Xenopus tropicalis: one gene and its partners. The protein of the gene in region 2 purifies or fractionates together with the protein of the main gene of each other region. This does not show direct contact. Links are inferred from orthologs where the notes say so. Each region holds a gene or a part of one and is shown on either strand. Other genes may lie near its edges. The genes, in order: prkar2b, akap11 and prkar1a.

Region 1 (10,471 bases), on a different chromosome or scaffold from region 2:
CATGAACATAAACAAGTAACTTTTGCAGATTTGAATGGCCAGGTTTTTTTCCAAAGCAGAAATTTTGTACAATTGCATAAAGATATGATAGTCAACATTTATACAAAACATACGAACATTGGAATGCACTACCTCACATCTTACTAGTACAACTGCAGCCATCTTAAATTATACAATTTACACAGCAAACCCACCACCTATTCTCACTATGATCTAAGGGAGTATGTTAAAGAAACTACTCCCTCACAATTTATTTACCCCACCATTAGAGATGTATTGGACCAACTCTTTCTTTCACAAGAGCTTCGACAGGCTATTTATGTGACCCTGGCTGGAAAAAACAGTTGTTCTGCAGAACTATATAAAATACTTGGGGAATCACTCTCTCTGGTTATGCCAGAAGCCTTTACTCCGTCTCAGCTAATAATCCACCTTTCAAACCCTTTCTTCAGGTAACCATAACAATGATATTGAAACTGGTACAGAGCCCGTCCGCAGTGCTCGTTATAGTTATAGTGATACCGTATTATATGCTAAAATGTTGGCCAAATTCATAAGACCAAGTGGGATTTGTACCAGGCAGAGTAGCAAGGGACAACACTTTTACAATATTTTAGAATGCCCACACCATAAAACACCACTTTTGCTTCTATCCACTGATGCAGAGAAGGTGTTTGATGGGGTAAACTGAAGCTTTCTGGGTAGGGTTATTCGTAAGATAAAAGCTTTATATAGTGTCCATCAGGGTCCAAATCAACTGACCACTGTCTGACCCCTTTAAACTTTCCAATGGAAAACAACAAGAGTATCCTCTATCAGTAGGACAGGACAAAATCAGTAGTAGTTATACCTGTGACCACCCCCCAGAGTCAACATCTATTTAGATACCCGTGCCCGCCCCATCTCTGATGCCACAAAAGGGGCGAGGCAGGTGCACGTCGTGGCAGGAAGAGCTCTACTCAAAGCTGCCCGTGACCTGAATTGTGTGTCGGCCAGAACCTGCCAGGTAAATCCATGGGTTATCAGGCATTGCCTTATAACATTAAAGTAATTTTTAGAAATTCACATTTTTTCACAAAAAAAAGAAAAGACAATTACTATAGTGATAATAACTTATATATAGCTCCTTATGCAGCTGTATGACAAATGTACATCAATTTCTACGTTGTTAAATAAAGTCTTTATAAAGATGCACCTAATCCATTTTTGAGACACAACAGGCAACAACTCCAATATTTATTAAGGTCCTATACAGTACAACAAGCATCGCTAAACTTAGGCAAAGTTTGGTTACCAGTAGTAAATGTAAGCCTACTTTAGATCTTTTTTTTCTGTTCATTTACTTGTATGCAGTACATTTAGGGGCACATTTACTAATCCACGAACGTCCGAAAAGCGTCCGAATGCATTTTTTTCGTAATGATCGGTATTTTGCGATTTTTTCATAAATTGTTGCGACTTTTTCGTAGCCATTACGACTTTTTGTAAATTGCCACAACTTTTTCGTAGCCATTACGACTTGCGCGAATTGTCACGACTTTTTTGTAGCCGTCGCGCCGAGTACGAAAGTTTCAGATTCATTCAAGCTTCAGTATCGTGACTTTCCTTGGGCCAGGTTGGAGCTGCAGAGTGCCATTGAGTCCTATGGAAGGCTTCCAAAATCATCGTTTACGAGCGCTCAATTTGAAAAAGTCGCGACAATATACGAGCAAGTTGTAACGGCTACGAAAAAGTTGCGACAATTCACGCAAGTCGTAACGGCTACGGAAAAGTCGTGACGGCGACAAAAAAATAGCAAAAAATACGAAAAAGTCGCAAAATGTTCCTTTCCAATCAGGTTTTTTCCCATTCGGGATTCGGATTCGTGGATTAGTAAATCAGCCCCTTGGTATGCGCCTCTGTCTTTCTCTTCTCTTCACTAGTCTTTCTTCCTGTTCCCCACATACCTTTTCTTTTTCCCCCCAACTTTTAACATTCTCACTTGTGCCTTCTTGCCCAGACACATTTTCTCCACTGTACAATAATTTGCACTGTTCTTACCCATTTTAATGATCTTCACTTTTCCCCATTCCTCTTTTCTAGCTACCCCATCTTTCACACTTTTTATCTTTTAATGCTTCATATTTCGTGTAGGCCCTCCTCACTGGTCACTGTTACAGAAACCCTTACATTTTTCTTTTCCGTAGGCAACATATTTTATTTTTCCTTCCTTTGGTGTATATCTTCAGCTCTCTTGTCCCTTGTGCTAAGTGGGTGATGTACAGATTCTCTTGAAAGCAGAAGCACTTCAAGTCCCAGAATCCATCACTTCACAATAGAAAAAGGTTGTATAAAAATGTGAGCCTATGGGGGGAAGAAATGGTTCAGTTGAATATAGGTTGGCTATAAAGGTTTTCTTTCAATATGTAGAATCAGGTAAGTGTTTAAAATGCATCCTTATTTAGATAGTGTTTATGCTCCTTTTTAACATAAGCCCAACTGAATGAGTTCATATTAAAATGATGGGGGTATATGGTCCCTTTTCAGGTATAAATGGCTTACAAATTTTTAAATCACAGCCGCATAAACTTACATTTAACACTAAATTTCATATGCCATTTACTTACCCAGATTGCCCATATCATGCACAAGGATGCCATATCCTGAATACAATTAATTGGCCTACATAGTTTTGTGCCATCTGCAAACTGCATATTTGTTGTTGTTGTTTTTTAATTAATAAACAAAATCATTTTACACTTTATTTAGAGTAATAAAGTTTTGATAGTTACATGGACCAAGCTATTTCTTAGAACTTAGCAAGTGTCCTATTGACGCCCAAGGAAAGACTATTTGGTCCTGCACTCACAATTTCTTCTGCACACCAACCCTGCCACTGTCTGGGCTCTCCCTCACCCATCAACCACTCCTATCTCACCTAGTCACACCTCTTAACTATGCCAGAGGCACATAACTCTTCTGCCTACTCCTATTTCTAGCCCTGCTACCCTGCATTATAAAAACTCTCCTATGGGCCTCCATTCTAGAACTACTTGACATACCAAGGCCCTCTCCCCATATCTCTTAAAGAGCCAATTCCATCTTATTCCTCTTATAGTAATTGGCAATCAGGTAAATGCACAAGGACTGATGTTTGTCAGACTACTGTGGTAAGAAAAGGCACACTAGCTGTTTTTTAGGTGGAAACTGGCTGACAAGGATCCCAAAGTACCCTTGTCCTAACACGCAAGATGAATGTGTCTCTTTCATTTTCTTAATTTTTTGGGACTCTTAGTAGAAATTGAAACAATTACCTGGGTCTTCACAGACAAATAAATCCTATGATTGAAAGGCAGCAGAATAAAATACATTCCTTTAAGGTAATGACATGTATTGGTCCTCCTCTGGTAGAAAAGCACAAGCCTGCCTGTACTGCCCTTTTCTCCTGATATTCCCTTCAATTACACCCACCTGACCCACGGGGCAGACTTCAGCCTCAGCATCTGATGCCCACCTGTGTGCGCAGCGACAGGTAAATGTGATTGTAGGAAACAGCAAAAAAGGTAATACCTTATGAAGTCACTGGCATTTATCTGCCATGTCTGTCTTTAGCCTTAAGCAACTACAAATATTTGCTGTAACTTTAAAAATATCATATTTTGTTCTAATTCTCAGAGCAGTTGACATAGATTTCAGTTTTTAATAATGCTGTGTCTTAGGACAATAGAGGGGAGAGTAGAGACATCAATAGGTGAAGGACAGCTATAGTAATACTACAATAACAAGAGCACTATTTAATATTCTCATGATGTTGCCTGGATGGGCAAAGAATGTATATACTGTGGATCTCATATAAATGTCGCTGATCAAGCAAAAGGTTAGGTGTTTGTTATAGTACCATAAAATAATATCTAACCATGAGGCATCTTATCTTTATAAATATGACTGAGAAAATATAGGTTTTGTTTCTGTAATTTATACACAGTATGGTGTGGCCTTAGTTCTGTCCCCTAAAACGTAAACATATAATAACAATACGGTGTGAGTGAGTTTTGTGGGGAAACCACCACCACGAGAATTCCCTTACAGCTGGCAATTTTAGTTCAGTCACAGCTTGAGAGAAAAGGGTGGAAAAACCTATGCCCTGCATATGGAAGGCAGGGACAAAAGGACGGACACCTGAACTGCAGGGTTCCTCATTAGCACATACCCACAAAATCCTCTTCATCGTCATCCTCCTCCTCCTCGCCGTTTTCAGAGTCAGTCTGCATGGGCTCCTCGGCGAAAATGACCCCTTTAGTGAGCCTGAAAGGTAATTCCATGCCATGGCTGAGGGGGCCGCCCTGACTCTTAGACTGCTTGAGCTGGGTGAAGTACTGCAAGGCGAATTCCAGCAGGTCCTCGGGCTGTTTTCGTAACACCTCCACGGTAAAGCTCTGCAGTAGCTCCGTCAGCCCCTCCGGGATTTCTATACTCATTCCTGGGGTAGCGGGGCAGGAAGCTGGATTTGGTGCACAGCAGCAGTATGTCACTGGGAGATCTCTATTGGCTGCCAGTAGGCACAGGGAGCTGGCTACTATGGGGTACCATGCTACTCATAGAGCATAATGCAGGGGTACCGACATGAGAATAAAAGGCGCTGCTCATCCGTATGAACTGGCATTATTAACATTCAAGCAGGTGATGGGGTTTAAGTGACAGGAAAGTTAGGCGAGCCCACATGACACGCTAAAGAGGGGGGGGCAATTAGGCAGTGATCATAGGGCAGCAGGGTGTACGAGGTCCAGCGGCCTGAGGCACCGGGTCCCTGCCCGACAATACAAACATGCAAGTGGGCACTGGTTTAAAAGATTTCTTTTTAATTACAGCGATGATGATGAATCCCTCTTCCACGCTGTGGCTCTGGCTCTCCCCAGGCTCTCACTTGTGGCGACACCGCAGTCGGCGGCAATAAGGGTATGAGAGGCACGCTTAGGCTGCGCTGCGAACCCTTATCGTTTCCGGGGAAGATGGTGAAGCTGTTGTGTTGTCCTTGTCACTTCTCCCGGATTAACAGGCCCCCAAGCTCACACAAGGCGCAGACCAAATACAACTGAGCATACAAAGTGCTGCATCCTCCGCCTCCCGCCCGCAGCCGCCTGTCAATCAAATGGGAGCCAGCAGCGTGCATGTGACCACCGGAAACCATGGCAACCCTCCATCTCAAGCATTGCGTGTGGAGCAGGTGCGGATACAGACTGGCGGGGATGCTGCGCAGAAAACGACCAATGTGGCCGAAGGGGACTCCGATTTCAGCAAAGAATGAAAGTGGGTTAAGGGCTCAGAGATGGCAGACTATCAGCAGCAGTCTGTTTTATTTATACTACACTATAAGGCTCTAATTGTCTTCACTAGAAAGGCCCTCGCTTTCCTTTGATTTTTCCTACTGGTATCCCCATTTTCTTACAACGAATATGTTGTCTCTGTATGACCAGCTTTTAATTATTTATAAATATATATATATATTTGCTTGAAAATCTATTTTTGTACTGTCCTGGAAAGTATATCTTTATTAGCCTCAATCTAGCCAGTACTACTAGCCAGTAGTTTGTAAAGCAGCCAATATATTAAGTTAAATCCACACATAAAAATACACATTTTCCAACTATACAATAAAAATCTGCATATTTTAGATCACATTTTCAGGATTTCCTTGGCTTTTTTAGGAATACTGTCATGGGAAACAGGTGTTTTCTTCACCAGAAAAACCCTGCATTTAAATCCATTTTTTTATAAACTCAGGTTTTTTTAAATTTCATTTTGAAATTTCACATGGGGCTAGCCATATTCTTCATTTCCCAGGGTTCCACAACCATGTGACCTGTGCTCTGAAAAACTTTAGTCACACTTTACTGCTGAGCTGCAATTGGAGTGATATGACCCCCCCCCCTCCCAGCAGCCAATCAGTAGAAGGTAGCAAGACAGAAGCTCCCACTAGATATCAGAATAGCACTCAGTAGTAGGAAATCCAAGTGCATCTTGGGACTCCTCCAGTTACAGTTCTAATGTGTAGCCCTGTCTTCTTCTGAAAGCTCAGACTCAGGCACAGTGCACTGAGATTGCTGCCTACACACCAATATTAAAACAAAAAAATACATTTGTTGGTTCAAGAATAACATTTTAAATGGTAGAGTGAATTATTTGCTATGTAAATAATGTAATCTGGAAATAAAAAGTATACCATAAAAATCATGACAGTATCCCTGTAACATTAATTCTCTAAAGCCGCATTTTCCCTAAATAATCTTTTAAAGGAAAAACTGCTTAACTGTTGAGTATAATGTAAAAAATGATCACCATATGGACAAATATTGTCAAGAATAGATGGTAGTACTTACCAAACCATCAGTTCTATACAGTAAAGATTATTATTCATTAGCTGGAGCAATAGTTCTATTTGTTTATCAAGTGCAGGTTTGCAGTGATAGCTGCACAATCTCTCTGGCTGGTGTTTGCCAGTAGGTGGATTATGGCATTAGGTACTGAAATGAATGCCCTCATCATAGCCATGATAGCTATTGCCTGGCCTAACCATCACAACAAAAGGGTGAACAGCCAGAAGGCCGTACAAATGTTTTACTGACAAATGAAAAATCATTCTGTTGGTCTCAGGCACAAAGAAGCTATTGCAACTGATTTACCAGATGTGCTACATTTCCTCAGTGCAGTTACTTATAGCAACCAAACAGATCTTTGCTATTATTTTCTAACTTTTAATTGACTAAAAAGCTAATTGCTGTATGTTGGTATAGGCCACTGCACTTGTCTGATTTAACACCTAAGTTTCTTGTGTTTACCTCTCTATTAACTTCAGGCTAGCTTCAAGCACCAGCCAGAAAGATTGATGCGTTCTACCTGCGGTCTGCCCTTGCATTTCAGTGAGCACAAACGAGTAGGCTGCGATTCTTCCTGTGTTTCCCTGTGCTGGAATGTATGAATGATCCAGCGCAGGGAAACATAGTAAAAAATGCTTGTATGTAAAAGCCCTAATAGAGGAAAGATAAATAGAAACATAATTGTAATAATATAGCTTCACATTCTGTTTTCTGGTTACTGACCCTAAAACCCAAGTAGTGCTATAAATCACATGTTGGACAGAGGCAGAATATGAAGTCAAATAAATTATTAATGAAAGAAAAAAAGTCCTCACTATTTTGACATGATATCTTTGGGAATTTATTTACTGTACCCTTTCACTCCCTAGTCACACAACATCACAATCAGTTCAACATATTGCCAAGATACAACCATAGGTCTTTAACATACTCATGCATGCCCTTGTGAAAATTTTGCTACTGGTCTAATCACCTATAGCAACCAATCAGCAGGTAGCATTTTCTGGTTGCCTGTTTAAAAACAGACAGGGTATTCATTGTTTTGAATGAGAGATTGGCAGATAAGCAGTAGAGGGCCTTAATAAAAAGTAACAAAAAATTGCAGCATTCCATTTAAATGCTGGAAAGAGACAGAAGAGAAAGACAAACAATTATAAATCTATAAAAACAACTGATTAAAAAAGCTATTTTATATTATTCTATAATATACCAAAAGATAACTTAAAGGTCAACTTAAAGGTCAACAACCTCTTTAACCTGTGTTTCTAGAATTATTCAGTTCTTACATAAGGCCTCTTCAGATTCACATCCTTTTTGTGTCTGAACCTTGCCCACCCCAACTGTCCTTTTTACACTTGTGAAGCATATACAGTATATTTATTGTATTGTACATTTCTAGCAATGTATTGTAAAAATACATGGCATACAAAAGTAGAAATAAAAAAGACAAAGAGACATGTATAAAAATGTACACAAAAATATTTTTCAGTACAAAATTCAGTTTCTTCAGTTTTAAGGGCCCACCAAATAAATCACGCATGCAGGTGTTGAATTATATGGGTGGATGCATATAGAAAGTTGGGACAACCAGGGCATTGGTAGTTGGAAGGAGGGGGACAAGTTTACAAAGGAAGAGGGTATCAGAGAGAGTCACTGACAGTAACTAGTAATAAATATAACTGGGGCAAGATGAATGAAATAGTATGGCAGGTATGTAACTTGCACCAAAATGTGGTTGCATCTTGGAGCATAAAACTATATACATATATATATATGTATGCATCATTGTATGGAATCATTGTAGCAACAACATTCCGTATTATGATCCTAATATTTTTTTTAAATGAAACTGCGCACAATTGGTTCCACAATTGACTGGTTAGGAATAATATGATTACCCACCTGTAAATGATTGGATTGTGTCGCAATGGAACTGTATGTGGTTGGCTTCAAATCTATGTGTGCCTTAATCCATTTCTCTCTTTAAAAGGATTAAAGAAATATCTGAAACAAAAATGACAGCAATGGAAAATGCTAACAACAACATAATTATTCTAGCACATCATAAAGAATTAATTTCTTTTGAACACTGGAAGGATTTAAAAACATAAGCCCTGAATCCATCCTTTGTTGAGGCAGAAGTCATTGGTATTCTGTACACCTTTTAGAAGCTTTGCAGTTTTGTACCTTCATAGTGCTAATGTAAAACATAACTTGATAAGTGAAATATTATTTAACTGTAAAATGCCTATTCTGCAGACTGCATTTCAAAAATGTTAAAGTGATACTGACAGCAAAATAATACATTTCATTATATGATTCCAAAAGTACCTACTACTCATGTTGACCGTTTTCTCCGGAAATCGCTTGTTTTTTAAATAAACGCTTCTTAAATCCTGGACACGACTGTGAGACAAACCCGACTGTCTCTGTTCCTGAGCGCCGATGTGTGCGTGATGACGTTTTCGCGCAGTGAAGCAAGAAAGGGCAGCACAGGACCCGTCGCCAATTGGTGGAAAGGTATGCTTTTTTTTTTTATTGCAGGGGTGGCGTTCCAGGAACCCGGAAGAGAAGAAAGAAGATGGCAGCGTTGTGGGGGAGCAAAGGAAATCAATGGTGGGGGTAAAAGATCCTAGACTAGGGGTTGGCCTAGTGCCCCCTCACTGTTGCGCCCTAGGTAGGTGCCTCTTCTGCCTAGCCCTAGTTCCAGCCCTGATGAAGAATGTGCAGTGCATTTGTCTTGACATAGATAAACTTACTGTACATGCTCAGATGACCAATATTCCTGATTTGAAAATCAGTACGGCTGTTCATTCTACTAGCCTAATAAAACATCATTATGTTCAGATTTGTAAATCTGTGCTACACTACATCCTTTTCTACCTGCCCACCTTCAAACTCACACATTGCTTGTTTGTTTCTCTGTTTTTGCCAAGACCAGTTTCAATTCACAAACCCCAGAAAGACCTGGCACATGTAGACCAACAGGAAATATAGGGAATGTTCCCTCTAAACTTTGCATTTTGGAGCTTGCTCAAATTTTGACAGCAGCACACAGAAGTTGTAATAGGCACAAAGATTTTGTGTCAAAAACACATTATTTTGTACATATCCTGACCTGTGCACATACTTGTTTAAATAGTCTGCACACACAAAAAAAAAAAAAAATTTTCTTCGGAAAAAAGTCTAGAAGAAATTAGAGGGAACATTGGACACAGGCTGGTAAAAAGTTCAATAATTGCCGAGTGTGGCCAGGGCAGAATATTGTAAAATAAATTTAAGAGCCATGATGCAGTTCAGATAAAATGCTTCAGCAGTATACATGTGTGTTCAAGCATTTTTAGAACAACAAGAACATATATTTGTTGGTGGTTCATTCAGGCCTTGCTACATTTCCCCATTGTAAATGATCTTGCCACTAGCCTGCACCTCCGCGTGGAGCTGCAGGTTTACCTCTTCTTCTGAAAAGTTTTGCCACATCAATGCCTTTCTGAGATAGAGATAATTTTACATTGGACAATGCAGAAATATTATTTCACTTTACTTAAACAAAAATCATGGGGCATATTTACTAAAGGGAGAACACTATAATAAAAATTCACCACAAAATCACCAATTTACTAATAGGAGAGAGCAACAAGTTTTGGCTTATTTACTTCACATTGGTGAAAATTCTCGTTGCATTGGTCAAAATGCATCAGAGAACATTAATTTGTCAAGAACACAAGAATGAAATGTTGCTAAGAGAAATTTTGATAGGTCCATGCTGGCAAAGTGCCATTATAATGCCTAAGCAGTCACTTTTTCATCTTATTATCTACGTCACCTACTCCATGCTAATATCCCACATATGTTATTTTTGGGGGGGTAAATGCTCTAAAGAATTTTCCCCATTATGTTTTTTCTTTAGGACACAATGATATGTAGTTCAACAGTCGTCGAACAGCTGCAAGTTGTACATGCCTAATAAAAATGCTAGTGAGTTTTAAAAACAGCCCTGATCAGTGTCCATAGATGGCTATGGTTTTATTATCTAAAACCTAATAAAGGTGATCTGATGCATCATGTAATAAGGGGCTGTAGGCCTATATTTTCAATACAGTATTTTGCCTGGACTG
Region 2 (10,336 bases):
GCACCTGTTAGGAGAAAACTGCACCGGCTGGGGTAACAGGTAAGCGATTACAAACACTGGGGGGTGCCTACGTTTTGGAAGCACACAGATACAGTTTTACTCCCAGCAGAGCTTCCTGCACAGTCCTTATTTGTAGCTATGAGCGAATCTGTCTTGTTTCGCAGAAAAATTTGCAAAACTGCTGAAACATTTGCAAAATGCGGCCACCCCATGATTTTTTTCTGAAGCCTGCAACTTTTTTTAATGCAACTGCAACTTTTTCCTCACACAAAAGAATTCAATCCTCGCTACTTATTTGGCATCCAAACAGAACATTTTTCATGCTTGTGTCGCTCACTAACACTATTTACATCTGAGTGTGGCTCACAAATAAAAAAGGTTGGGGATCAAATTCTCATTGGAATCATCAGTAAAAGCTTTTTTTTTTTTTTTGTCTATGTAAAGTTGGGAGGAACACGGGTCAAAAAAATTTCATTACACTAATGATGCTTCATTGTTATTTGTATATGACAATAAAACTCGAAAACTTGAAAACAAAACAAGTGATGAATTCCAATTACCAATAAACCACAAATTTGGTACATATTTGCCCAAGCAAGCTTTGCAATTTATTTACTTTTTAGTCACAATCAAAAGCTAATCGTTTTTACTATATTTATGGAGTTATATAATAAAGGGCCCTAAGTTTGCCCAGCTGCAGAAACCCATAGCAAACAATCAGCAGGTAGCCTTTATTAGTCACCTGTTTTTAAGCAAACGTGTTATTGGTCGCTATGGGTTACTGCACTGGGCAAACTTTGTGCCTTTTATTGTATATGGGGTTTACTGTATAAATAACAAAGGTAGATACTTAAAGTGACTCTGACAGTTACAAACATCTGCACTTTGCCCTGCAGATCAGTTCTATATAAGCAGCACTTTTAGTTTTATGCTTAACTACTCGGTATGCAAAGAGCCCAGAAGGTGCAGAACACTGGGGCTTCAAAATTTACTAAAGTCAGTAGGGTAAATCTGTATATATGTATTATAAAGGCATCATCTGTGGACTTTTTCTATAACAGTGTCTGTACATGTATATTCTGCTCATAAAAATCAGGCTGGTTATGATGGATCTTTAACCAATGGATTTCTGCTACTTCTGAATTGCAATCCTCATAATGCCTGGGGTTAACAATAAATGAGTTAATGAGAATCAAGGGAGCGCTCAGCATAGATATGTAAAACAAAAAAATATACTTATATCTTAACTTGTTTTCCCAGATTTTATGAAAATTACATTAGATCTACGTGTAGATTTGCCCTTGCAGTGTATACACAACCATGCTTAGCATACCTTAACTCTGGTTTATATGCTGGAACATGCAGGGTTTCACGCCACTAACATCTGGCCACGCATGGGTAACAACACAGCCTTGCATCATTGTTTCCTTTCTAGAGATGGCCAAAACTATCTATTGTAGCAAACCTTGAGATGTAACCAACGCTCCATTTATAGATGCACAACAGAACAATTTGGAGGGTGGCACAGATAGGAAATATCACTATAACAGGGGTGTCAAACTCAATCACATAAGGGGGCCGTGGGCCTAATTTTTTATTTAGATACTAAGGGGCAGATTTATTAAAATGTGAGTTTAGAGCTTAATCATAAAAACTAACCAATGGTCTATTCATTCAAATCATAACTTTCACCCATTGATAAATACACTTCTAAAAATCCTATAGAAATGAACAGAACAGGGATGCGTTTTTATGTATTAAGCTCTAAACTCTTTTGATAAATCGGCCCCTTAGCCTAAGTTAAGGATAGATCTTTCCTCACCCTGAAACACAATATCACATGCCATCCTCGTACATTAATCATGTTTTGAAAAAAACAACAAGCACAAGGCAAACTGTAAGCAAAACAGTTAAATTACAAACTCAACAGTTTTTAATACATTTATCTATAATTCTATATTTGAAATTTAGGTTTTAAAATTGCTCATCTATTTGTTTTCTGGCTAGAATCTTTCTACTCTGGCACAGCTGTGCCTAGTGCTGGGTGCCGTTGCCAGTGGCACATAGACAAGCCAGGACCGGATGGGAGCCGTGGACAATAGCCTGGCCAATCTAGGCCACGGACGAGCAGAGGCTCATTATGTGGCCTGTGGTGACTGTGCTCCAAGCGGCTGCTCTTATGTTCTGCCCTGCAGGGTGTGTGGTGCGTATTATGTTATTCCGCACCATGCAAGGCAGAATGAAAGCGGCTGCTTTGAGTGGCGCATTCAGGCAATTGGTCACGCAGCATGATCAGGCACAGTAACATCGCCACTGGGACAGGAGCGGCACAGTCAGGCAATAGGTCAGCTGCACGGTCAGGCAGTCACAATGGGCCACATGAAACAGCCAGGTGGTCGGATTTGGCCCGCGGGCCTTGTGTTTGACACGTGAGAATTACAAACTTGGCATTTTTTCATTCTTCCTTAAAATAAGACATCCTATCTCTTTCAGATTGCTTTGTGGGAATGAACAAGAGCAACACCCCTACAGTAATCAGTGGATCAAATGTTGTTTGCTCCTATGAGTCCTCAGCTGTGGAGTCGAGAGTTGGAAGCAATTATGGGTACCTAAAGTTTGAGTCAGCACAAATGTGCCGACTCTGACTGCTGTTAAGGTTTGTTACAATATTCTATTTCACAGATAAGTCATAATAAAGTACTTCTGTAAGAGGTACTGTAAGAATAAAGGCCAGTGTGGTGTTGTTTCACTAGTCTGATGTCCAGGGAAGCTATTAGAATCTTATTGTTTTCATTTTTTGTCTTTTGTTTAAACTTTAGATTTTAGGGATGTTTGTAGTTTATTTAAATGATAAAAAGCCACAAGGACATAGGCTTAGCTTAGTTATAGATTTAGACCCAAACTTCAACAGTATCCTCATTCATGTTGGCTGTGAAAGGCTTGTATGGCCAATAGGATAATGCGTCAGTTGCCTAGCAAGTAGTTCTTTGGTTTGTTCCCAAAAGCAGACACCATCTTCATCTAGCTTTACAACTGCTGAGTTTTGGCAGTGATGAAATGCTTTGTATGTTGTGTTCTATTTGGTCAACATAGAAAATACATTAGTGTATTTAAAGTGAAGGAATCGGAGGAGTCGGAGTCGAGTTGAATGTACCATAAACTAAGGAGTAGGAGTTGAAGGATTTATGTACCGACTCCACAACCCTGCTCAAATCAAGTAATAAATTAAATTCCTGCTTAGGGTAGTGCCACATGGGGCTCATTCTCAGTCTGTGTAAAAACACGAGGAGAGAATCAGCCAATCCTCAGGCCTCTGCACTCACTGTAACTGCAATAGCCTGGGTGCAGACACATGGATGTTCCCTCTAATTTCTTGGTTCTGTGCACAAAAAGTTTCTTTGTGCTCACTTTTGAAAAACTGGTGTACAAATATCAGAATAATATACTCAAAATGTATTGATTTGTGTGCACGTGCATGAGTACACAGCTTAAAGGGAACAGTGCCAGAGGGAATTCCGGGAAAACATATGTAGTTTTACACCGAAATCTGCTTTGTGTGTCTGCACCCAGGCCAACGCAGTGCCTATGAGTTCAGACACATGAATGAGCAGAGACCGGTGGATTCTCTGCCTATGTTTATACGCAAGCCCCATGTGGCACTACCCTTAACAAGCAGTGAGGTATTAAGCCATTTAGTATTTTAAATACAATGAAATCAAACCTGTTTGACTGCAGCCCATTATCAGAATTAGAGAGCCATGGAAATGCATATATACCACCATATATATACCTCCTTTCAGAACAATTATTCTTCTGCCTTTGCATTCAAATAACATGTCTTATTTTGGAACCAAAGACTATTGTTTGTGTATCTGCTAGATAACTGCATAGTTCTTCTGGCAGCATCCCATCCATAAATTTTAAAGCTTTAAAAAAACCACATACTAACATATTTGCTGTACAGCAACCAATCAAACTGCTCCAAAATGATGAAATCTGATTGTCTGGAAATTGCTATGGGCTACAAACCGAAAGGACAATTTCATACTTTCTAGGAAAAGATGGGTGTTGGGTTTTCACAGACCTGAAGATGAACAGCCCCATAGTCTTATCTGCAGCTCTTGAACTAACTACATTTGGGAAGATTCCACAGCATTATGTATGTGAGTACCTATCTCCCAAATGCACCCATGTACAGGAATGCGTCTGGTAGTCCCCATTCCCCGAGTCAGAAACCTTAAGAAGGAGACAAGACAAGGAACCCACAGTATCAAACCCACCACAGGTAACAAAGAGACTGCCATGACAAAGGATTCCAAAGGCAAAAACAGCAGGAAGGTGCTTCCAATAAGACTATATGCCTGGCACCAAACAATATCACATGTGCCATAATCATCAGGGTGAAGGTAAACAAGGCAACTTGGCTCACCTTATGTGATAAACTTTCCAAGGGATGAAAGGGTAGATTTTGTTTTTGTTGTTAATGGGACATATTTTGACTAAACTGGCAAAATCCTGTCCATCTGTACTGGAAGGAACAGAAGGGAATAAAGATCATTGTTTGGTAAAGTATTCAGACAACCAAATATTTGTCTGATTTGGCCCATGCCATTTATCCCTGAGCCAATGGTCACAATGTAATGGAGTTGCTCACTCCCACAAATGTCATCATGAGTGTCAATTTCTTTATGTTTTTTACTTTTCAGACTAGAACACAGTAGCACAACCTGCTACCCCAGGAGAATACTATGACAAGTATTAAGGAAAATTCTAGGCCCTGAATTTTCTGGTTATCTGGTCCCCCTACTCTGGGACTCAGACAGCTGATTCATATAGAAACTTACAGCTATGACTTTGTATTGAGGAAGTGCAGTGACAGAGGTTGGAACCAGTGGTTACTTTTCATGTTTTATCCGCCCCAATAGCACAAAGCAGTACCAGTATTTGAGTCACAGGCCACTCAGAGCCCAAAAGTAAACAAGGTGCCACACTCCCAGGATCACTGTACCTGGAGGCAAATCATAACTAGCAGCAATAAAAGGATTAAGCATGCTAATCAGCGGATTACTTTAAGCAAGAATGCCATACTGTCTGTGTGCAACTACAACTCCCAGTAGCCTATGTCTGACAGAGCAGCAACAGAAGCGCAGGCAAGCCATGGAGATTCTGCAGTGCTATGTTGCGAATGGTGTGAATGACAGGCACACAGAGCAGCTGACAGCCATTATCATTACCTATCATCCGGTCATACGCAGGCCCCCAACGCCACAAGGTGCACAGAAGCGCTGCAGCAACTGCGGCCCGTAGATCGGTTATTCCTGCAGCGCTTTCATCGCAATAAACCAAGTGGCAGCATCATTGGCAGATTCCGGGCCCCGGACCCTGGGAAGCTTAGCTGGGCAGCTGAGGGAGTGTTGTGCTGCTGCTACTCGCTGCTGACGTTTCTCCTGCGTCATCTCACTGCGCTTCCCTGACGGCGCGTTGGTTGGCAATAGGAATGGCTGGCACTGACGTCATAGCCGGCAAGTGCATGTATGGCGCTGAGACTTACAGTAGCCACTCACTGTAGCCACTCACTGTAGCCACTCACTGTAGCCACTCACTGTAGTTGGACCTATAGCTGGTACAGCGCCAATGAGGTTTTCTGCTGTGTAAACAATTCCTGTCTGTGGCTCCAAGGCCATTAAAGCACATTAATGGCTGCATGGGGATAATAATATTTCTCTGTTTCACACAAAAATATAGGGAATGAAATATCCCAGTTGTAAACTATAAGGGTATTAGAAGGCTCTGGGGAGTTCAATGGCCAAACAAATGTTTTTATACAGGTCATGGAACTCTCCAGAAATGTCTAATATCCTTATATTTTGCAAAACCAGGGGATATATTATCTGTTATAATACACAAGGAAACAGTCATGTGACATGTGAAATTACATCTCTGAGCAACTGGTGGCATTATAAGGGTAGAGTTTAAAGGATTTTTGATGGCGTTATGTGTATTACTTTTTATATTTTACAACTCTGCACATTAATTTAACCCATTCCCATGTGCTTACATCATGTTCTAGTGCCCTAAACTCTGATTGCCATCACACTGGGAACCAACATTGCACTGCCGGTATATAATGGCCTGTCTGGTAAAAATGATGCGCAATGCCAATGTTATTAATAGGGAGGAAAGACAGAAATATGGGAAGGCCATTATTTTTTAAAAAAAATGGTGATAACCCTAACTTGTTCTGTTTAGAGATGTCTGCTACTTGTGAAACAGTGGGATTGAAGCTACACTGCTTATTGCAAGGTCCAGTACAATTCACAATATCTTCATTATTCTATACCTATGATTTGGCCTTTACCCAGATAGAGACAGAGATCACAGAAGCACCTGCTGTGGGTGTAGGGAAGTACTGGGCCCATACAAACCAAATGAATACTTAATCCTTAGTGGCCAGTGATGCTCAGCTTGTTCCTTGGCTCACACTGTGCCCCAGACTGGCATCTGGACTGTGACAATGGCAGCAGACGTGTGTGCAAGACTGAAGCCAGGTTCAGTATGGTCACTATCCTGTATGATCACTCCTCTCTTGTATCACTGCTCTCGTTACAGCTGTGCTCCTCCATCACATTCTATTACAGTGGCCTGTGGGGAGATACAAAGTGTGCCGTTCTGTTACAGGGGAGTAGTGCAAAGGCTAGCTTTAGGGTGAAGACACATGGAGCTACTTGTCTCGGCTACTAAACGCCAGAAAATCCCCTGCCATAGACAATACTGAGAATTGCCTCTGCTAAAATATATGTAGAGACAATTATCAGTAAATTATTAGTATAATCTATTTTAGTAGACATGACAAGTAGCTCCTACTAATAGCTCTGTGTGTCTTCACCCTTACTAATACATAAGAGAGCTAGCTGTGATGGTGCACATTTTGCAATTGTGCCACTGCCTTTACCACATTGTTTCTAGAAAACCACTCAGGACAGTTGCCACAGAATTGATATGCTAATAATCTACTATGATATAATTAGGGTCCCTTAATTCTTTAACATATACATCCCTCCAACCACCCCCTAACTGATCAGCACATTTGCAGGAATGTCTTTGTGCCATTCAGCTAGGTGGGGGGTACCCACACCTCCCCCACAACTCTGCAGCTGGATTTAGCAGCCATTGTCCTGTGGCAAATAGTGGGTTTTTAAAAACCGGAAAAAAAGACAGGAAAACCTCTTTGTTACGTATAGGCACTGAGTACAGCACTCCTACAGCTGCTGCCCTAAGCATGTGCCCTTAAATGCCTAAATAGATTATATGCCCCTGGGGACAGAACAAAAGCAATTATATTCCGTATTATAAAGAAGAATTGGCAATGTAGTGCCCCAAGAAGTCAGTTGTGGTTAGTTCCGTGGCAGGTACCCCACCAGTTGGGATCACAGCTGGAAGCATTTGGTAAAGAGTGGTCCCCTGATGGCTTCAGACCATGCGTCCCCACCAATGAATGTTCCAAGCACCAGTTGGTCTGGTTTGTCCAGGAATAAGGTGGAAGAAGAGCGCCAATTCCATAATAAAGTAGCTGACCATGATGGTTGGAAAGTGAGAAGCAGTGAAATTCTTGGTGGGTCAAATGAAAGTGAGTGTAGGACTGGCCAGACTGGGGATGACTGACATAGTTGGCCAGCTTGAAGTATATTGCAATATATGGACAAATAATCCCTGTTTTGCCTAAAGGGGAGGGCATTTCTTGGTAGCTTTATGCACAGAGTTCCTTAATGTCCTGTATATATTGATAATGGGTGAGTGCAGAGGACCTCTTGTTGTCGTCTGTATGGAAAGTGAGAAGAGACAGGAATGGGATGCAGTAGCCTGACCACTAAAAGGCTAAAGCTATCTGTTATTTGAGGCAAAAACAAAGTATAAAGAAACCTGCTGTGTGAGAATATAAAACAAAGATAAAGAAACATGTTGTGTGAAACAATGAGGAGAAACTGATGGGAAAACATACAGAATATTTTGAGGAGAAAGAGAAACATCAGTTTTGAGCAAATTAATCTTGCTGAACTTGATTCTCATTGCTTGATTTATACTTCTCAAATAGATATATGTCGTGTACTTTAAATATCCATTCCTTGGCCATGAAAACTTGGATTTCAGTATTTGAGCCCATTTTGTCTTTTTTTCCAGTGCTGACCTTGTTTAGCTATTACACCTGCCCTGCCTTGCTTTGTTGCAGAGTTCTAAATCCACATTTATAGATTGACTTTACCCCTTGCACTCCAATGTAGTGTTTAGCAAAGGGGTGGGTCTTCATCTTTGGCTGCCTCAGGTGGAAGGTCCATTGAGCCTGGGATCAATAGGGCCCCAGTAATGCCAGTCCTACCCTAGAGTATCCATCTATACTCTAGAGAAGTCGGGGACAGGGACCCCGTGAATGAGGACAAGTTATATAGTTATACTCTGTTGAGCTCTTTCTAGGAAAGTGAGATAGTTAGCTGAAGGAAGCAAGAGCAGCTTTGGGCTCCAACCAGGAAAGTAGCTGGAAGTACCTTTTTATACAGACACTGTTGCCTTAACATAGGGCCATGGTTAAGACACAGGATACAGGCAGTACCTAAACCCTGATCCACAGTCGGTTGTAAGTTTCTTAAAGCTAAAGGTATTCAACCTGAGGACTGAGGTATTTATCCAGACTGCTTTCCTAGAGGTGCCGAGCTGTGCTTTCATAGAGGTGCTTTACCCTGCCCAGTCTCCCAAAGAGGTGGGATAAACCGGTGGCATCCTTTCTTGTTGTCCTCACAGGGTACTATAGCTATACCATCTGCATTGTGAGTGTCTGAGCTAACCCTGCATTATTATTTGTCTCTGACAATAAACACAGTTATTATTTGTTCACCATCAAGAACCTTCTGGCGTCCATTTTTGCTAATTTGCACTGCACACAACTACAGTGAGTTGTAGTTCCACTACACCCCATGATACTTCCATTTAGCAAAGGTCCATCCTGTCTAAGAGAGTTGCATGTACCCCATGCCCTAACCTATTCTGGCTGGTGCTTGACTGTTTTACCACCAAATAGGGGTTACAGAACCTTTTTAGCATTTGATTTCTATAGCAGAAATAGTTCTTTCTGAAAAGACACGGGGGGGGGGGTAAGAAAGGAAATGCATTGTAGGCAAAGCAAAATTATCTGCAAGCCAAGTCATCTCCATGCTGGGAGGTTTGCCTGGTACCAAGCTTCTCTGTACAGCTTTAAGAAATTGAAGATCCTTTATTTTAATCAGCTACAACATATATTAAAATATGGCCCATTTAAAGGGATCTCTTCCCAAACATTGTTTTTTTTTTTTTTTTTTGCATAGGGAAAGCAACGTTTGTTCCAAGTAACTTTCCAAGACACATTAATTAATAATTTTTAGTGGTTTTAAAGCTATTTGTAAATGTAATTGCAGTTGAAATCTGCATCTGTCCTGCTGCTTATATACCCTGCACTGCTGGTTCTGACTCCTGTAACAGAACTGGAAGAGAACTGACTTCTACTACATTGTTTCCAGAGCCAAAACCAGAAGACAGCAGTTATCAAAATTACATTTACAATTTTATCACCATTTAAAATGTTTAAAAAGTTGCTCTTAGTCTATATTGTTCATCCATTATGCAAAAAAAACACAATATATGTCAAATGATAAATTTATATTCCTCATTTATCTGAATATTTGATATCATAGGATTTTTACTAAACAACAGCAATAGGCACTTCCTTTACTATCCATTTGTCTCGCACTTTTATATTTAGTTGGTATAAATAAATCTAAATCCCCCATAACTACAATCTTTTTATGAACTTTAGACCCAGGGACATCCTTTAGAGTTCCTGATGGTGGTTACAATAATGCAATCTCAAAATACACCGGCACCTCACTGGGCATTTTTTATTCCTCTGGGGCCCAATGAGAGGTCTCTCTTCCTACCTCTTTCCTTCTGTAATGTAATGTAATGTTAGAAGAGCTGGGAAAAAAGTCAGAATAGACCAATATTATTTTAGTTTAAAGCCATTTCTGTTTGCTCGTGGCCAAGGGGCAAGCTCTTGCATACTAGGTTATTACCGATTAGTTATAATGATTTGCCCTTAATACAAATGTCCATCCTTTTCTCAATTTTATTTAGTAATTGTATTTCTCATTCCAAAATTCCTTCCATTAAATAGGTCTTTCTAATAATCTCTCTCATCTGAACCATAAAGCTTGAATTACAGGGAAGTTTTTTTATTACAAAAAGGACAATAAGGCGAATAACTGTATTTTATTTGTAAAGTGTAGTTTAGCAGCACAGGGAATGAGATGGG
Region 3 (10,389 bases), on a different chromosome or scaffold from region 2:
GGCTAAGGCTGGGGGGCACAGTGAAGCCAAAAGCACAGTGTTACCTTCTCGAGCCGCTCGAAGTACTCCCTGAGGAAGGCCATGGGGCAGGCGGGCCGCACGGTGCAGAGCTGCACGATACAGTCCTTCAGCAGCTGCTGGATGTTGTGTTTGTGCACATACTGCTCACACTCGCGCAGGCTGCGCTCCTCCTCCCCCCCGGTGCTGCCTGACGCCATGTCTGCCGGGAGAGAAGCACCACTGTTAGGGCAACACAATCATACGGGGGGCAATAAGGGAATAAGCCCCCCTATATACAGGCTGTAGCGCTAGGCTGGGGGCAACACAGTGATACGGGGGGGGCAATAAGGGAATGAAGCCCCCGTATATACAGGCTGGGGGCAACACAATCATACGGGGGGCAATAAGGGAATAAGCCCCCGTATATACAGGCTGTAGCGCTAGGCTGGGGGCAACACAATGATACGGGGGGGGCAATAAGGGAATAAGCCCCCGTATATACAGGCTGTAGCGTTAGGCTGGGGGCAACACAATGATATGGGGGGCAATAAGGGAATGAAGCCCCTGTATATACAGGCTGGGGGCAACACAATGATATGGGGGGCAATAAGGGAATGAAGCCCCTGTATATACAGGCTGGGGGCAACACAATGATACAGGGGGGCAATAAGGGAATGAAGCCCCCATATATACAGGCTGGGAGCAACACAGTGATACGGGGGGCAATAAGGGAATGAAGCCCCTGTATATACAGGCTGGGGGCAACACAATGACACAGGGGGGGCAATAAGGGAACGGAGCCCCGTATATACAGGCTGGGGGCAATAAGGGAATGAAGCCCCTGTATATACAGGTTGGGGGCAACACAATGATATGGGGGGGCAATAAGGGAATGAAGCCCCCGTATATACAGGCTGGGGGCAACACAATGATACAGGGGGGCAATAAGGGAATGAAGCCCCCGTATATACAGGCTGTAGCGCTAGGCTGGGGGCAACACAATGATACGGGGGGGCAATAAGGGAATGGAGCACCTGTATATACAGGCTGGGGGCAAACACAATGATACGAGGGGGGCAATAAGGGAATGAATCCCCCGTATATACAGGCTGTAGCGCTAGGCTGGGGGCAACACAATGATACGGGGGGGGCAATAAGGGAATGAAGCCCCCATATATACAGGCTGTAGCGCTAGGCTGGGGGCAACACAATGATACGGGGGGCAATAAGGAAATGAAGCCCCCGTATATACAGGCTGGGGGCAACACAGTGATACAGGGGGGCAATAAGGGAATGGAGCCCCTGTATATACAGGCTGGGGGCAACACAATGATACGGGGGGGCAATAAGGGAATGGAGCCCCTGTATATACAGGCTGGGGGCAACACAATGATACGGGGGGGCAATAAGGGAATGAAGCCCCCGTATATACAGGCTGGGGCAACACAGTGATACAGGGGGGCAATAAGGGAATGGAGCCCCTGTATATACAGGCTGGGGGCAACACAGTGATACAGGGGGGCAATAAGGGAATGGAGCCCCGTATATACAGGCTGGGGGCAACACAATGATATGGGGGCAATAAGGGAATGGAGCCCCGTATATACAGGCTGGGAGCAACACAATGATACAGGGGGGCAATAAGGGAATGAAGCCCCCGTATATACAGGCTGGGGGCAACACAATGATACAGGGGGGCAATAAGGGAATGAAGCCCCGTATATACAGGCTGGGGGCAACACAATGATACAGGGGGGCAATAAGGGAATGAAGCCCCGTATATACAGGCTGTAGCGCTAGGCTGGGGGCAACACAATGATACGGGGGCAATAAGGGAATGAAGCCCCCGTATATACAGGCTGTAGCGCTAGGCTGGGGGCAACACAATGATACGGGGGGGGCAATAAGGGAATGAAGCCCCGTATATACAGGCTGGGGGCAACACAATGATACAGGGGGGCAATAAGGGAATGAAGCCCCCGTATATACAGGCTGGGGGCAACACAATGATACAGGGGGGCAATAAGGGAATGAAGCCCCGTATATACAGGCTGGGGGCAACACAATGATACAGGGGGGCAATAAGGGAATGAAGCCCCCGTATATACAGGCTGGGGGCAACACAATGATACAGGGGGGCAATAAGGGAATGAAGCCCCCGTATATACAGGCTGGGGGCAACACAATGATACAGGGGGGGCAATAAGGGAATGAAGCCCCGTATATACAGGCTGGGGGCAACACAATGATACAGGGGGGGCAATAAGGGAATGAAGCCCCGTATATACAGGCTGGGGGCAACACAATGATACAGGGGGGGCAATAAGGGAATGAAGCCCCCGTATATACAGGCTGGGGGCAACACAATGATACAGGGGGGGCAATAAGGGAATGGAGCCCCGTATATACAGGCTGGGGGCAACACAATGATACGGGGGGGGCAATAAGGGAATAAGCCCCCGTATATACAGGCTGTAGCGTTAGGCTGGGGGCAACACAATGATATGGGGGGCAATAAGGGAATGAAGCCCCTGTATATACAGGCTGGGGGCAACACAATGATATGGGGGGCAATAAGGGAATGAAGCCCCTGTATATACAGGCTGGGGGCAACACAATGATACAGGGGGGCAATAAGGGAATGAAGCCCCCATATATACAGGCTGGGAGCAACACAGTGATACGGGGGGCAATAAGGGAATGAAGCCCCTGTATATACAGGCTGGGGGCAACACAATGACACAGGGGGGGCAATAAGGGAACGGAGCCCCGTATATACAGGCTGGGGGCAATAAGGGAATGAAGCCCCTGTATATACAGGTTGGGGGCAACACAATGATATGGGGGGGCAATAAGGGAATGAAGCCCCCGTATATACAGGCTGGGGGCAACACAATGATACAGGGGGGCAATAAGGGGAATGAAGCCCCCGTATATACAGGCTGTAGCGCTAGGCTGGGGGCAACACAATGATACGGGGGGGCAATAAGGGAATGGAGCACCTGTATATACAGGCTGGGGGCAACACAATGATACGAGGGGGGCAATAAGGGAATGAATCCCCCGTATATACAGGCTGTAGCGCTAGGCTGGGGGCAACACAATGATACGGGGGGGGCAATAAGGGAATGAAGCCCCCATATATACAGGCTGTAGCGCTAGGCTGGGGGCAACACAATGATACGGGGGGCAATAAGGAAATGAAGCCCCCGTATATACAGGCTGGGGGCAACACAGTGATACAGGGGGGCAATAAGGGAATGGAGCCCCTGTATATACAGGCTGGGGGCAACACAATGATACGGGGGGGCAATAAGGGAATGGAGCCCCTGTATATACAGGCTGGGGGCAACACAATGATACGGGGGGGCAATAAGGGAATGAAGCCCCCGTATATACAGGCTGGGGGCAACACAGTGATACAGGGGGGCAATAAGGGAATGGAGCCCCTGTATATACAGGCTGGGGGCAACACAGTGATACAGGGGGGCAATAAGGGAATGGAGCCCCGTATATACAGGCTGGGGGCAACACAATGATATGGGGGCAATAAGGGAATGGAGCCCCGTATATACAGGCTGGGAGCAACACAATGATACAGGGGGGCAATAAGGGAATGAAGCCCCCGTATATACAGGCTGGGGGCAACACAATGATACAGGGGGGCAATAAGGGAATGAAGCCCCGTATATACAGGCTGGGGGCAACACAATGATACAGGGGGGCAATAAGGGAATGAAGCCCCGTATATACAGGCTGTAGCGCTAGGCTGGGGGCAACACAATGATACGGGGGGCAATAAGGGAATGAAGCCCCCGTATATACAGGCTGTAGCGCTAGGCTGGGGGCAACACAATGATACGGGGGGGGCAATAAGGGAATGAAGCCCCGTATATACAGGCTGGGGGCAACACAATGATACAGGGGGGCAATAAGGGAATGAAGCCCCCGTATATACAGGCTGGGGGCAACACAATGATACAGGGGGGCAATAAGGGAATGAAGCCCCGTATATACAGGCTGGGGGCAACACAATGATACAGGGGGGCAATAAGGGAATGAAGCCCCCGTATATACAGGCTGGGGGCAACACAATGATACAGGGGGGCAATAAGGGAATGAAGCCCCCGTATATACAGGCTGGGGGCAACACAATGATACAGGGGGGGCAATAAGGGAATGAAGCCCCGTATATACAGGCTGGGGGCAACACAATGATACAGGGGGGGCAATAAGGGAATGAAGCCCCGTATATACAGGCTGGGGGCAACACAATGATACAGGGGGGGCAATAAGGGAATGAAGCCCCCGTATATACAGGCTGGGGGCAACACAATGATACAGGGGGGGCAATAAGGGAATGGAGCCCCGTATATACAGGCTGGGGGCAACACAATGATACAGGGGGGCAATAAGGGAATGGAGCCCCCGTATATACAGGCTGTAGCGCTAGGCTGGGGGCAACACAATGATACAGGGGGGCAATAAGGGAATGAAGCCCCGTATATACAGGCTGGGGGCAACACAATGATACGGGGGGGCAATAAGGGAATGGAGCCCTGGGGGCAGTTACACAGGTATAGAGACAGGAGGCAGTTACAGGAGGGCAGGTATAGGGGGAGGGGCAAACAAACAGGATAATGGGAGGAGCCAAGGGAGAGGCAGTTCATAAGGGCAAATAAAATCAATAAGCATGGGGCAGATACACAGGGAAGGGCTAATGTTGGGGGCAATTCCCAGGGAGAGTGGGGGGAGCAAATAAAGAGCACAGGGAGGGGAGGGGCAGTTGATCGGGGCAGGTATTGCTGAAGGGCAGCTGCTCAGGGCAATAGGGGCAGGTATAGGGGAGGGGCAGGTACCGGGGATAAAGCAGGGAGTCGGGGCAGGTACAAGGGTGAGGCAGGGTATGGGGGGTATAACGCGGGGCAGGTAGAGGGGCAGGTAGAGGGGCAGATAGAGAGGGGCAGGTAGCGGGGGCAGGTAGCGGGGCAGGTAGCGGGGCAGGTAGCGGGGCTGGTCTCACCGGTGCCAATGCCGGGCTGTGTGCGCTCTGTATCCCGGGCTCCCGGCTGTGTCCCCCAGTCTCTCCCGCTGCCTCAGGCCCAGCTCCGTCTCTTCCTCTCCCCTCACCGGAAACAGCGCCCAGCCAATCAGCGGCCGCCAGTGACGTCAATCGGTCTGACAGGAACCGCGAACCATGGCAACCGCTAGCCCCGCCTTTCTGCCTCCGTGTAGCCACGCCCCTCGCTGCGTGTGTGTAACTCTTTCCTTGCCGGCCTCTGTGTCTCACTCCTAGACCAGCAATGGGTTAAACTGTTCTATGTAATAGCGGCGCAGTGTGTGGGAATTGGGTCACATGTTCCGTTACACCCCGCCCCCCCAACCGGAAACGGTCACTATAGAGGGGAGCTGCGGGCCAGTGCGGTACCGGGGTGCGGGGGGGGCTCACTCTCCCCCCTCCCCCTCCCCCTCCCCCTCACTCCCTTCCGCTCTTAGTTACTTCCCTTTACTCCCTGTTATCTCTCCTTCCCGCCATTCCCTCTGTTCCCCCTGTTCCCTCCCACACAGAATAGAGTAAGGGTGCAGGCAGGGCAAGGGATTGGGGAGTCTCCCCGGTATCCTGGTCCCACACTGCAGAGCTGGCACTCTAATCCTGTCAGTGGGGGGGGGCGGGGTCTGTGGCACCTTTATTGGCTTTATGGCTCCTGGGAGGGGGATTAGCGCCGGATTAACCTCCTCTCTCTCTATTCTCTCTATTTAACTCTATTCCTGCCGAGCCCCCGAGAGGGAGACAGTAGGGCAAGATGGAGACAGTAGGGCAAGATGGAGGCAGTAGGACAAGATGGGGACAGTAGGGCAAGATGGAGGCAGTAGGGCAAGATGGGGACAGTAGGGCAAGATGGGGACAGTAGGGCAAGATGGAGACAGTAGGGCAAGATGGAGACAGTAGGGCAAGATGGAGACAGTAGGGCAAGATGGAGACAGTAGGGCAAGATGGGGACAGTAGGGCAAGATGGGGGCAGTAGGGCAAGATGGGGACAGTAGGGCAAGATGGAGACAGTAGGGCAAGATGGAGACAGTAGGGCAAGAGGGAGACAGTAGGGCAAGATGGGGACAGTAGGACAAGATGGGGACAGTAGGGTAAGATGGAGGCAGTAGGGCAAGATGGAGGCAGTAGGGTAAGATGGAGGCAGTAGGGCAAGATGGAGACAGTAGGGCAAGATGGAGGCAGTAGGGCAAGATGGGGACAGTAGGGCAAGATGGAGACAGTAGGGTAAGATGGAGACAGTAGGGCAAGAGGGAGACAGTAGGGCAAGATGGGGACAGTAGGACAAGATGGGGACAGTAGGGTAAGATGGAGACAGTAGGGCAAGAGGGAGACAGTAGGGCAAGAGGGAGACAGTAGGACAAGATGGGGACAGTAGGACAAGATGGGGACAGTAGGACAAGATGGGGACAGTAGGACAAGATGGGGACAGTAGGGCAAGATGGAGACAGTAGGGCAAGATGGGGACAGTAGGGCAAGATGGAGACAGTAGGACAAGATGGGGACAGTAGGACAAGATGGGGACAGTAGGGCAAGATGGAGACAGTAGGGCAAGATGGGGACAGTAGGGCAAGATGGAGACAGTAGGGCAAGATGGGGACAGTAGGGCAAGATGGAGACAGTAGGGCAAGATGGAGACAGTAGGGCAAGATGGAGACAGTAGGGCAAGATGGGGACAGTAGGGCAAGATGGGGACAGTAGGGCAAGATGGAGACAGTAGGGCAAGATGGAGACAGTAGGGCAAGATGGAGACAGTAGGGCAAGATGGAGACAGTAGGGCAAGATGGAAACAGTAGGGCAAGATGGAGACAGTAGGGCAAGATGGAGACAGTAGGGCAAGATGGGGACAGTAGGGCAAGATGGGGACAGTAGGGCAAGAGGGAGACAGTAGGGCAAGAGGGAGACAGTAGGACAAGAGGGAGACAGTAGGGCATGATGGGGACAGTAGGGCAAGATGGGGACAGTAGGGCAAGATAGAGACAGTAGGGCAAGATGGAGACAGTAGGGCAAGATGGAGACAGTAGGGCAAGATGGGGACAGTAAGGCAAGATGGAGACAGTAGGACAAGATGGAGACAGTAGGGCAAGATGGAGACAGTAGGGCAAGATGGAGACAGTAGGGCAAGATGGAGACAGTAGGGCAAGATGGGGACAGTAAGGCAAGATGGAGACAGTAGGACAAGATGGAGACAGTAGGGCAAGATGGAGACAGTAGGGCAAGATGGGGACAGTAAGGCAAGATGGAGACAGTAGGGCAAGATGGAGACAGTAGGGCAAGATGGGGACAGTAAGGCAAGATGGAGACAGTAGGACAAGATGGGGACAGTAGGGCAAGATGGAGACAGCAGGGCAAGATGGGGACAGTAGGACAAGATGGAGACAGTAGGACAAGATGGAGACAGTAGGACAAGATGGAGACAGTAGGACAAGATGGAGACAGTAGGACAAGATGGGGACAGTAGGGCAAGATGGAGACAGTAGGACAAGATGGGGACAGTAGGGCAAGATGGAGACAGTAGGACAAGATGGAGACAGTAGGGCAAGATGGAGACAGTAGGACAAGATGGAGACAGTAGGACAAGATGGGGACAGTAGGGCAAGATGGAGACAGTAGGGCAAGAGGGAGACAGTAGGACAAGAGGGAGACAGTAGGGCAAGAGGGAGACAGTAGGGCAAGATGGAGACAGTAGGGCAAGAGGGAGACAGTAGGACAAGAGGGAGACAGTAGGGCAAGAGGGAGACAGTAGGGCAAGATGGAGACAGTAGGGCAAGAGGGAGACAGTAGGACAAGAGGGAGACAGTAGGGCAAGAGGGAGACAGTAGGGCAAGATGGAGACAGTAGGGCAAGAGGGAGACAGTAGGACAAGAGGGAGACAGTAGGGCAAGATGGAGACAGTAGGGCAAGAGGGAGACAGTAGGACAAGAGGGAGACAGTAGGGCAAGAGGGAGACAGTAGGGCAAGATGGAGACAGTAGGGCAAGATGGGGACAGTAACACTACACTAAACGTTACTATGGCAGCTGCACTGACAAACATTTGTTTTTTCATCCAGAAAAAATGATGCCACCATGATACCCTGGAAAGCCAATGAGTTTTTCCCAAGTAAGTTCCCATGGGATGGCACCATTGGCAGTGAGTGGCGTTAAAGCATGCTGAGTCTCTGTCTGATTTCTGGTTGCTGTGTATGCTTTACCATAGCAACAAGACAGCATTTTATGATGGCATAGCAACCCAATGGTTAATTTTTTTTAATATTTGTGTTGGATTTTTCCCCATAAATATCCGGTGGCAACAGGGATAGAACATGAATCTCTCTGGGATCTTGCAACATTTAAAGGCCAAGTAAGTGAGCCAATCTGTATATTGGGGGGTTCATTACTTATCTGTCCCTCTCTGGGTATCACTCTCTGTAATTAAAGTCCATATTAAAAGGGTTGTTCACCTTCACTTTTGGTGCAGCAGCTCTGCAGGTTGCTGGGGTCCAAATTACCTTAGCAACCTGGGAGCGGTTTGAATAAGAGACTGGTATATGAATAGGGGAGGGGCTGAATAGACAAACAAGTTATAAAAAGTAACAGTAACAATAAAACTGGAGCCTCACAGAGCAATAGGGTTTGGCTGCCGGGGTCAGTGACCCCCATTTGAAAGCTGCAAAGAGGTAGAAGATGAAGGCAAATAATTCAAGAACTATAAGAAATAAATAATGAAGACCAATTGAAAAGTTGCTTAGAATAGGCCATTCTATAACATATAATAGCTGAGTAAGGTCGGGATTTTGTGTTAGTCGGGGCCCCAGGTTCCTCGGCTCAGGGCAACGTGGGCAGAAAGCGTTGGCCGCCCGGCCAATATCCCACCTCCCATGGGCAGTCAGTGAGCCCCAAGGGGAATATAACGCTCATAATGTGTATAGCGCTCGGGGCAACATGGGCAGAAAGTGTTGGCCGCCCGGCCAGGGGCAGTCAGTGAGCCCCAAGGGGAACATAACGCTCATAATGTGTATAATGCTGGGGGCAACGTGGGCAGAAAGTGTTGGCCGCCCGGCCAGGGGCAGTCAGTGAGTCCCAAGGGGAACATAACGCTCATAATGTGTATAATGCTGGGGGCAACGTGGGCAGAAAGTGTTGGCCGCCCGGCCAGGGGCAGTCAGTGAGCCCCAGGGGAACATAACGCTCATAATGTGTATAGCGCTCGGGGCAACATGGGCAAAAAATATTGGCCGCCCGGCCAGGGGCAGTCAGTGAGCCCCAAGGGGAACATAACGCTCATAATGTGTATAGCACTCGGGGCAAAAAATATCGGCCGCCTGGCCAGGGGCAGTCAGTGAGCCCCAAGGGGAACATAACGCTCATAATGTGTATAATGCTGGGGGCAACGTGGGCAGAAAGTGTTGGCCGCCCGGCCAGGGGCAGTCAGTGAGCCCCAGGGGAACATAACGCTCATAATGTGTATAATGCTGGGGGCAACGTGGGCAGAAAGTGTTGGCCGCCCGGCCAGGGGCAGTCAGTGAGTCCCAAGGGGAACATAACGCTCATAATGTGTATAATGCTGGGGGCAACGTGGGCAGAAAGTGTTGGCCGCCCGGCCAGGGGCAGTCAGTGAGCCCCAGGGGAACATAACGCTCATAATGTGTATAGCGCTCGGGGCAACATGGGCAGAAAGTGTTGGCCGCCCGGCCAGGGGCAGTCAGTGAGCCCCAAGGGGAACATAAATCAGCCTGTCGGGCGCAGCTGTTCCGCTCAGTTTCCTGCCTCTCTGTTACAGGGTAACCGGACCGTGACTACCTGCCCCCCAGCTATTTGTGAATGAGTCTCAGCTGGAAGATTCCTCCCCCCAAACAAGCTGACGCGCCTTCTATTTTGGAAACAAGTCCTTCCCCGATGCCTGGGGCTACTGACATTGCCAGAGTCAGCCGGGGGCAACCAGATAAACATCCCTCCGGTATGTGCTAGCAATGGGCACTCTGTTGGAAGGCTTCCCAGATTGGGGGCATAGGGGGGACAAACAGGGACTTACATACAGTTACACCTTAGGCTTCTTGCCCCAGCCTTTCCGCTCTCTGTCTCTCAAATACATTAGAAATACAATATATTTTACTCTTACAGACTCCCCCCCCCCCAGTAAGTTCCATCAGAGTGTTCTAGTCCCACCCACTGCTTGTGTTACAGACTCCCTGCCCCTCCCCTTTAAGCTTTCATCAGAGTATTCTAGCCCCACCCACTGCTTGCATTACAGACTCTCTGCTCCTCCCCTGTAAGCTTCCATCAGTTTTCTAGTCCCACCCACATCTTCCATCAGAATGTTTTAGTCCCACCCACTATTTGAATAACAGACTCTCTGTCCCTC

The links.
Region 1: the proteins of akap11 (region 2) and prkar2b purify together in Homo sapiens (affinity purification with mass spectrometry; 3 studies listed by BioGRID and IntAct, counting the BioPlex papers as one, with this or other methods). This does not show direct contact. The link is inferred for Xenopus tropicalis from reciprocal best matches to the Homo sapiens genes AKAP11 and PRKAR2B.
Region 3: the proteins of akap11 (region 2) and prkar1a purify together in Homo sapiens (affinity purification with mass spectrometry; 3 studies listed by BioGRID and IntAct, counting the BioPlex papers as one, with this or other methods). This does not show direct contact. The link is inferred for Xenopus tropicalis from reciprocal best matches to the Homo sapiens genes AKAP11 and PRKAR1A.

The regions. Positions count from the first base shown.
Region 1 is NC_030679.2:76,689,849-76,700,319, forward strand, and holds the start of prkar2b (cAMP-dependent protein kinase type II-beta regulatory subunit), read right to left. Parts: upstream 4,857-10,471; 5' UTR 4,458-4,856; coding exon 4,190-4,457; intron 1-4,189. UniProt on the Homo sapiens protein: Regulatory subunit of the cAMP-dependent protein kinases involved in cAMP signaling in cells. Type II regulatory chains mediate membrane association by binding to anchoring proteins, including the MAP2 kinase.
Region 2 is NC_030678.2:132,780,694-132,791,029, reverse strand, and holds the start of akap11 (A-kinase anchor protein 11), read right to left. Parts: upstream 5,471-10,336; 5' UTR 5,235-5,470; intron 1-5,234. UniProt on the Homo sapiens protein: Binds to type II regulatory subunits of protein kinase A and anchors/targets them.
Region 3 is NC_030686.2:50,529,305-50,539,693, forward strand, and holds the start of prkar1a (cAMP-dependent protein kinase type I-alpha regulatory subunit), read right to left. Parts: upstream 5,157-10,389; 5' UTR 5,024-5,156; intron 221-5,023; 5' UTR 219-220; coding exon 45-218; intron 1-44. UniProt on the Homo sapiens protein: Regulatory subunit of the cAMP-dependent protein kinases involved in cAMP signaling in cells.